Drosophila melanogaster: one gene and its partner. The protein of the gene in region 2 interacts with the protein of the main gene of each other region in a pairwise test. Each region holds a gene or a part of one and is shown on either strand. Other genes may lie near its edges.

Region 1 (4,769 bases), 9.4 Mb from region 2:
TCACATACATCGTTCATCTCCAGGTCGGCCACATGACCAGGAAACAGGTGCGCCTTCTGCATGGGTACGTGCACAAAGTAACGATCACAAAACTTGGGGTTCCGCCGAAGCAGGACCTCAGTCAGTATTGTGCCATAGTCGATCTTCTTGGTAATCAAAAGGCGCCGGCTCTCTCCACTCCCATAGCTAGCGGAACGCAAGCCAAATTGTCTGGCGATTCTGTAAAGGGAAATGCCAACATAATAAGCAATTATTTTTTACGATGTGGGATGACGGTGCTTACTGGTGAAGCGTGGTTCTTTCTTCCTTCGAAAACGTGGGCTCAAACTGCATGTCACGTATATCGTCCGATCTCACATAGTTTTCTATAAGCCGTCGGTAATCAGCGAAATTTCCCTTTGGATTTATTAATCCAAGACCATTACGATTGTTCTTTAGCAGATAACTGAAAATATAAAATAAAATAGTTTCGTTTGGTGATACGTTAAAAGTCGAACTCTTACCATACGGGCTCTTCACGTCCCTGCTTCAGTCGCCCTAAGCCACCGCCTGTCCAGCCCATCAGTCGCATCATGCGATATCCCTTGTTGCTGGGGTCCAATTTGGGATCGCACGGACTGTCGGCGGACTCATTGGTGACTTTGATGTTGACGCCGTCCTTGTTTTTTTCCACCTTGATGGTGTCGCGCGTGGCATTCAGCTGTGTAGCGTAGTACCGGGTTTAATAAGGCATACATTATTTCAGAAATTTCATACCTTAATACTATAGCAATAGGACTGGATCGTCAAATGCGCCTGCTTATAGGCAGCTTTCTTGGCCGCCTTAAGGCTCTCCCCCTGTCCTGTCGCTATTACCTCATCATTTACTAATAATTCGGCGTATTTTGTATTATCGCTTAATGGCTGATCTCGGCTGACACGCTCTTCGTACTTGACATTCGCAATGTTGCAGGAGTTTTGCAGGCAGGCTCGTCCCCCAGCCAAGTACACAATGAGCCGACCGAAACGCAGATCTTGATAGAGATCGACTGGATCTCCGCCGCCAAAACACTGGCGTTTTATGTGTGAGCTATCCTCTGGGGAGCTCGTCGAGGGAAGGGGTGGAGCCCGGCGCCCTAGTAGTTGGAATTAGGCATTAGGCTTTGGTCTCTCTGGCTCGTATAGTTACTAGTGATAAAAAGAATCTTCTCTCGCCTATGGGCCCACTAATTGTTCAGTCGTCTACCTTTGGCGCGCTGCTCCGCCGCATCCGACGCCGAGACAAATGTTCTCTTCAGGCGCTGTTCCCGTTTCTGACGGAAATCCGCTGCGATTTCCTTGGACAACTCGGCCACCAAAAGCATCGTCGCGCTTGGATACTTGCAGCCCATGAACTCCATGTTGACGAACGTTTGGGCCAGGCACACCAGCCGGTCCTCCTCAAAACGATCCTTGTGGGCCAGCATGAAGCTGCGTCGCAGATCCCAGTGCTCATCACTTTCGTATTCCGTCTTGTAGCTGTCTACATCCCAGTCCAAGGAAAATTCCCCGGATCCATAGCCGGCATCATCCTGTTTTTTAACTTTGACTTTCTTCTGCTTTGGCTTGGATTGTTGAACGGACATCTTTACAGGGAAAATAAATAGCGTTCAACTTGTCAAATAAAATGAGCACAGGCACGCTTGTTTTTTGATTGCTGCTTTCCCATTCACAGCGAATTATCAATTCGATTGGCCATGTGTTGCCCATTGGCTATCGATAACGCAGCGATAACGATAGGCCCCATCACGGCTATACTTTGTCGTGCGTGTGTGTTTTTAAGTTCCTGCCTTTTAATTCATGATTTTTTGGTAACTTAACAACAATTTGGAGAGCGACGCGACGCCCAAGAAGTCAGAAACGAATTGCCAAAGTGTCTCCACAGACGATTGCCCCAAAGTGAGAGATCGGATCAGCCCAAAGCAGCCAACATGAGCATACCCAACGAGTACATAGCGAAAACGGAGGATGTGGCGGAACAGGTAAGATATATTAGGTTCCACTGCCAAAAAGAAGTCCACCAGGACTCCATATCCACCGCAGGAAGCGTCTTCCCGATGCGCCCCAAATGGCGTTTGCGGGGAAGCCCTGGCAGCTGCAAACTGGGAAAACTGCCAACGTCACCCAAACGCGGCAAAGTTCGAGGGTCTTGGCTGCATATAATCACGATCCGCTGACATGGGGGCAACGTGCTGGGCATTTGCTTCCAATAAGAATCTGGGTGCAACCCAGATGATGGGTTTGCCTTGTACTCCAGTACCGCAATTGACAGTTGTTGCGTCTGCCGCAGGGAAAACTCTCTCTCTCGCTGCTTATTTTCTACCTGTGTGCTGATGCGTATGTGTCTGTGTGTGTGTGCGAGAGAGCTGTCTCCGCAAGTGAAAGTGTTGAAAAAGAAATAGCGGGCAGCTGGACGCCAGCGGCCAGGTCGAGTTCCGTAATAGTTGGGCTAGAAAGCCAGGTGAACTTGCTCGCGATTTACATACATACATGTATGAAGTTACATTGACAGCCGGGCCAAAACCCGTTAGCTGGCAGATAGCAATCGAGAGATACTAGCGTTTAGAGACACGTCACAGCCAGCGGGCGATTTCTAGCGACTACGCGCAAGCCACGCTCAACGGCATTGTATATTTAAATCCCTTATCACCTTGTCAGTAGTCCCCTTATCACCATATCAGCACCCATCCCAATTGCTCTCAACTCAACCAGAACCAATCGAACACTCATTTTTGCAGGTCATCAAGCGCGGCAAAAATGTGCTGCCCACAGTGGCCCGTTTGTGCCTCATCGCCACGTTCTTCGAGGACGGCCTGCGCATGTACATCCAATGGAACGAGCAGCGGGAGTACATGGACATGAGCTGGGGCTGCGGCAAGTTCCTGGCCACCGTCTTTGTGCTCGTCAACCTGTTGGGCCAACTGGGCGGCTGCGGCATGGTGATGGCCAGATTTAAGGTCGACATAGCGGTGGGACTGCTTTTCTTCATTGTGGTGTTGCAGGTGAGTCTGCATTTATATCAGCCAGAAGCAAAAGCCTTGACGTTAACCCGATCCTCTGTTTGCAGACCGTTGCCTACTCCATTCTGTGGGACTTCCAGTTCTTACTGCGAAACTTTGCACTCATCGGAGCCCTACTGCTCGTCCTGGCGGAAGCCAGGATAGAGGGGCGCAGCCTGTTTGCCGGCGTGCCATCGATGGGCGAAAACAAGCCCAAGAACTTCATGCAGCTGGCGGGCCGCATCCTGCTGGCCTTCATGTTCATCACTTTGATCCGCTTTGAGCTGAGCGTATGGCAAGTTATACAGGACATCATCGGCTCCATTCTGATGGTGCTGGTCGTGCTGGGATACAAGACGAAGCTGTCCGCCCTGATTCTGGTGGCTCTGCTTACGATCCTGAACCTGTACCACAATGCCTGGTGGACCATTCCGTCCTACAAGCCACTCAGGGATTTCTTGAAATACGACTTTTTCCAGGTTAGCAGGTTTACAATATCTTTCGCACGAATTTGTGTTATTTTTACGCATTCCCTTCGCAGACTCTCTCGGTGATCGGTGGCCTCCTCATGATCGTGTCCTTGGGCCCTGGCGGCGTTTCCATGGACGAGCACAAGAAGAAGTGGTAGAGGCCAGGCAACGGTCGCTCCTTGAACGAAACACTTTCAACATTTGACTTTTACCGTGTTTTACTCCTTCTGAGAAATGTTAGTTAGGAATTACCATAAAATGGGACAACAACAGGAGCAGCATCAGCAGCACAACACCGGCACGTATAAGAACTTGACAATTTTCAATAAAGGGACTTCCGCAATACCCCTCTCCAATGGCTCACTTATTGGGATCGCCCCAACCCAACTCCAAATCCATTCGCGCACATTCAACGACAAACTTCGACATTTTAAACATTTAGGACATTTTATTTTTGTACATAAAGAACAGGCAAGAAAAAAGTTTGGTCACTTTCGAGCCCACCCCAAATGAGAGACATAACTGATTTTATATCTATGCTTGTCAATATCCATGTTTTTTGCCGATTTTTTTATATGATTTGTACACTCTTATAAATAAGTTGTAACCTTGGTGTTTGCCTTTTGTTGATTGCTAGAAGTTTGAATATGAAAACGATGTATAAAATATGATGTACCAATTGACAATGATTTGTTTCTTTCGTTTATAAGCAAAAGTGTAATAGAATTAAATTGTAACGTTTTAATAAACATAAAGATGAAAAACCGAGACTTGTGCATTTTAAACTTGGCGCCAATTGGCCGATAAATGGTTAATGCTTTTGTTTGTTTACCAGCACTAAGGCACAGCTGACTCGCAACGTCAACAAAGAGGGAAATGCCCATTCTTCGACTACTGGGTACCCCGTACTAAGTTAGCTGCTAGTGAATCCTGCATAACTAACAATAAATAACTTTATTGCAAAAATAAGAGCATAAACCTTATACAAGTAGTACGATTAAATTTTGTAAATAGACACAAAATATAATGATAAAAAAAATGATTAGGCACCGTTTTGAATGGTAATGTTAGTGAATTAACTAAATATAAAACAATATATTGAAAAGCCCTGACCTCTCCAACAAGGCAGTGAAATGTCAACGGCCTCACTTTTTTTTAAAAACTTGAAATCAAATCTGAAAATAGGGATGAGTACATTTGATTAATTTCCAAAAATTGTTGCAATCAGTTCAAATCAATTGCAATACACAATGCACACAAGTAACTTATAGGGGCGGAAGTG
Region 2 (4,639 bases):
TTTTTTTCTGGCTTCTTTGAAAGCTGGTTCATCAAATTCCATAAACCCAACCGAATGGAATAAGTTACTTTAAATTTGTAGGTAGAGCTATACCAGACACATTTTCCTACATTTTCTCTATGTAAGCCGGAATTTTACGAGCATTCCAATAATTGGTGCCCGGATATGCAACGCCTTTCGGCGTCCTACTCGCATCGCTTTTGCTTCTAGTCCTTAAAGCTTTCACTTGGGAATCCTAAATCAGCCTTACGATCATAAAACGTCCATACTTCATTCCGATTCTGAGCCCGATTCTCTTCCGTTGCCTTGGAAGCTCACTAGGTCAACACAAATCAGCATAAGCCACACAACTCCACATCGGACAATAACATTTTTATGTGTTAAGCTTTATGACAAAAGGCCAACACGAATGCGAAGGCAGGAGCAAGTGCACAGGGAAAGCCTCAGTACGTGAAAGTTGCTGCAAGTCGGCATAGAAAGTTTACCGATTTGTTTTGGCCGTAATAAATTCGGACAGCTGTAAGCAAGCAACAAATGGGGAATAAGCAAAACAAACGGTCTCGGCCACTGCAATAGTTCAAAGGAAAAGTCAAGGACCCAGGGGCTCGCTGTTGCTTAGGCACTTGGTCCTTTTTTCTGCGTTCCCGAGCAGCGAAGAATCAATCTTTTTCCACAGCTGCTCCACATGTTCCTCGTTTTGCGAGTGCCACTGTCAGAAATGTTGAGCTTGTGTAAACGACCAAGCAGCCAAGTGGGCGTCGAGATGTTCGTTCGGCTTTCTGCCAGCCATTCGCAGTTAACCCGTTATTTACTCAGGATCTGGGAAAACCTATCGCCATCATTTAAGCAAATATTATTCCATTATAACGGAAATTTGAAAATTAATAGACCATCTAGAACTGTTTAAGGCTTAGAACACCCATTTGCATTGTGCTTTCATAAATTAGTAGCAACATTTGCATTCACTATGTAATAAATATAAAATTTGGTACATTTTTCCAAAACAAATAAAGGTTGCAAATAATGCTTACAGAAAAAGTAAGGAAAATGCCCCCGAATGTGGAAGCGAGTTTCTAAATGGGTTAATTCCATTCCACATCCACTAAAAAAAAACGTATTGTGCGTGTTTCTCTGGCTGCACTTGTTTTGTTTTTCTTGGCTTGTTTTTATTTCGTTAATTTTGTTGTTGAGGCATCTGTTGCCCGGCTTCTGTTTTTCCTGTATCTGTATTTGTATTTGTTGATGTGCTTGTGTTTGTGTTGGTTTGTTTGCCCTAGCCCCTGCCAAGTAAAATAATTTTAAATGTAATTCTCGGATGCGCCTACCACTCGGATATGCATCCCATTGGATGTCCTGGCCCACTTGAGAGTGGAGTGTTACTTTTGGCAAATGTCAGAGTGCCTCTACACACACTCCAGATCCACGCTACCCGTCGAGTTTATTTTTCAGCTCATGAACCCCTAAAGTCCTGGCACGGAAATCCCCCTGCTTCTCGAAACCCTCAACCCCCTAACTATGAGTGCACATCTCCTGTTGGCAGGGACATGCATAAATATTATAAAACGTGCTGCTGCCGCAGATAGGTAAGTGCAGATGCCGGCTGTCTGGCCAAAATGCTTAGCCCGGCCCTTGCAAATAAGCCCACTTGCCGATTGTCTGTCCTTGGGCCTATCTGAGCCCGGTTTTTGGCGTACTCTTTGGCTTGTTGTAAGCAGCTTTCATGGCCGGGCTAACTGGCTTAAACCACTTTGTGCAGGAGGCGGCCATAAATTTCGGTCAAATGCTGGTACAAATCTGCACAATGCTTTATCATTTTTATTTTGATTTGGCACTGAGAAGTTTTCCTTTGTTCGAGCGAATTTTATTCAAAAAGGAATACGGGAAATGCCTTTAACGAATGTATATAATTTTTAACTTTGTCTTCAATTTCCCATTGTATAATGGGCTTCGGAAATATTTGTATTCATTTGTTTTGCTAATAACCCTATTCGCTTGGGAATTTTAATTGAAAAATGTCCATAATAACACATTAAAAATGTATTGGTGTTCTGCTGACGAAACAAATACATCGATTCCTTGACCAGTGGGTGGCTGAGCTCAAGGCAATTAATTGCCAGTTAAATGCTATTAAGTGCAGCACGCAGAAGGATTCCATGAATATATTACGCCCGCGACAGCCGATTTAATCGAGAACAAGACGATAAACATTAACGAAACCCGTTTCGAATTGCGAATTAAAGTCGCTTTTCGCTTAAACCGGGATTTGTCATATGCAGAGTCAAATACTTAATTAACTTGCAGTTCCATACGCACTTTTCGAGGACGCGGCAGGGTGCAGAATGTTGGTGGCAGGTGCAGGTGGCAGGTTGCAGGTTGCAGGTGAAGCAATCCGTGCGGCAATCGCGATAAGTGCACCAACAAATGGTTGGCAAATCTGGAGCACTCGCAAAGTCCACAAACAATGTGCAAAAGGTCGCGCGAGTTGGGGACTTACAAGTTTAATAAAGTCATATACACGCACTCCCGATGGCCAAGATGCCAATACACATAATTGTAAGGATGTGTGTATATGTATGAATTGTAGGGGCCACGGCTCAGTCTGACTTTTCCGGCAGAATGACCGACGAACGAAATGTGACCGAAATACACCATCAATTTTTAATATCTATTTAACATTTCAATCAGCGGAATCGCAGCGCTCGCCGCTCGATTCGTATGCAAATTTTAATTAATATTTAATTTTTCATTCATTGTATTTCTGTGTTTTGCCTGCAATTTTAATGACGCATCGCGGAGCGCTAATAAAATTAAATGGCCCAAACAACACAGGACCGATCCACTCACACAGATATTCCGGCACTCACACACTCTCACACAGGCACACTCGACCGAATGAGTTGTGCTTTAGCTTCCTTTTTCGTTTGGCTTGCTTGCTTGTTTTGTGGGTTCCACGCGCCGCGTTTTGCTCCTCCAGCGGATTGGATTTTCGCGTATCGTTGAGCAGAAGACCGTAGCGCCACGTTCCGACACGAATACGAAACTGAGCCACGGCATTGGCAAAAACGCTGCCGAGCACCAAAATATCCTTTGGCTCGGTCGATTCCATCTCGGGGACTTTTGCGCTCGTCGCGCGAAGAGGTCCCTCGGAGGACCAACCTCGTTTTCACTCAATTACCGAATGAAAGTAAAAATGGCACGAGCTCGGCGAAGAGAGTGTATCGGCAGCTTGAGTTTGTTTTGGTTTAAATTGCATTTAAGGAACTGCCAAGGTAGGCCTATCCCAAGCAATTTTACATTCTCGTCCTGCAGGATGATTTTAAATAGAGAACTGTCCATAAGTTGAGTTACAGTTTTATTTACGAATGAAATATCTCCATTATGTTTATCAAATGTTTGTATTATTGACGTTTTTTTATCTTTGCTGGTACCAATGTGACCAAGAACTATCCTTCTTCAAGCTATGAACCCACTAATCATTTTAAAACCATCCTATTTATCTAAAGTTATTCAGCAACTTTTTGTACGTCTTAAGTATCCATAAAAAGGACAGCGGACAAGTTTCTTGACGTTTTTAATAAGCCCCTTATAGTAAAAATAATACCAGTTAACACTCTTATTGACTTAAATATTTTTTTAAGACTCAAAGCCAGCTTCAGGCAAACTGAGATGAAAAGTACCCCTTAAAGAGAAAATTTCCCAACAAGCTCAAACACTACTCTCTTCTCTGCGAGGACAAGCGCCTGCGCTTATTCCAACTTCCAGTCAGCTTATCAAGAAATTATAAGAGTAATTTCCCTTTTGGGATTTATTCGCTTTATTCAGCGCTTTAGACGTCAAAGAATCCGTACATTTTATAAAAAAAGAATATCAGGATTTAAAACGTGGATCCAATTTGGGGACCTGAAATCATAAAATCATAAGTCAACAGTTATTCAAATTTTAATAACTTACCGAATATTTTTAGATATTATTACATCTTCATAATCTTCCAAATCTGTAAAATTTTCAACAGTTAATATATTCAACTTTCTTGTTATCGAAATAGCTGAGTTAAAAACAGCTGTACATTTCTCATTATTGAAAAAGCAATTATTCATAAAGATATTGTTATTGTTATTCAGTTGCCACCATTTTTATAACGTATAATGAAAAGAGGGGATTCAATTACTCATGCATAGGTGTTTGTAATTCAATTAGTCGAATCGAATCCAAACATTAGGATGTAGTGATTAATTCATCGATTATATTCTCATTTGCAAAAAATCTAAAAAATCTTACCCTATCGTGTGCATTTGGCAATGGTGGTCGAACCACTCCAGTTCCTGTGGGTTTGCTCCTGCTGGTGGTGGGATTGGATGAGGATGTGGAGGGCCTGGTCCCCTTTATGCTGGTCAGGGGCCTCGGAGCCGACTTTGCTGATGGTTTTTCGGGCATTTTAGCGGCGCGTTACGAAAATTGTCTGAGACTATTGACAGTAAAATTTACACATGTTTCAATCACTTGTGTGCTACACCGATTGAATTTAATGTGGCCGCCCACTAGATGCCTAGGATATCGAATCAAATTCATATAAAGTCTTTCAGAATGCAAACGAATACACGTCTGACTATGAGTCTGACTTCCAGTCACAGGCCAAAGG

The links. Proteins that work in one complex are often made in the same cells at the same time.
Region 1: the proteins of side-III (region 2) and Surf4 interact in a two-hybrid assay, tested with the Drosophila melanogaster proteins (one large-scale study listed by BioGRID).

The regions. Positions count from the first base shown.
Region 1 is NT_033777.3:15,343,140-15,347,908, reverse strand, and holds Surf4 (surfeit 4), read left to right. Parts: upstream 1-1,732; 5' UTR 1,733-1,949; coding exon 1,950-2,000; intron 2,001-2,756; coding exon 2,757-3,020; intron 3,021-3,085; coding exon 3,086-3,496; intron 3,497-3,558; coding exon 3,559-3,645; 3' UTR 3,646-4,256; downstream 4,257-4,769. Other genes in the region: CG31301 (uncharacterized protein), read right to left, coding at 1-219, 284-445, 504-700, 757-1,115, 1,226-1,604. UniProt on the Drosophila melanogaster protein: Endoplasmic reticulum cargo receptor that mediates the export of lipoproteins by recruiting cargos into COPII vesicles to facilitate their secretion.
Region 2 is NT_033777.3:5,956,512-5,961,150, forward strand, and holds the start of side-III (sidestep III), read right to left. Parts: upstream 3,045-4,639; 5' UTR 2,314-3,044; intron 1-2,313. Other genes in the region: CG11373 (uncharacterized protein), read right to left, coding at 3,971-3,994, 4,279-4,434.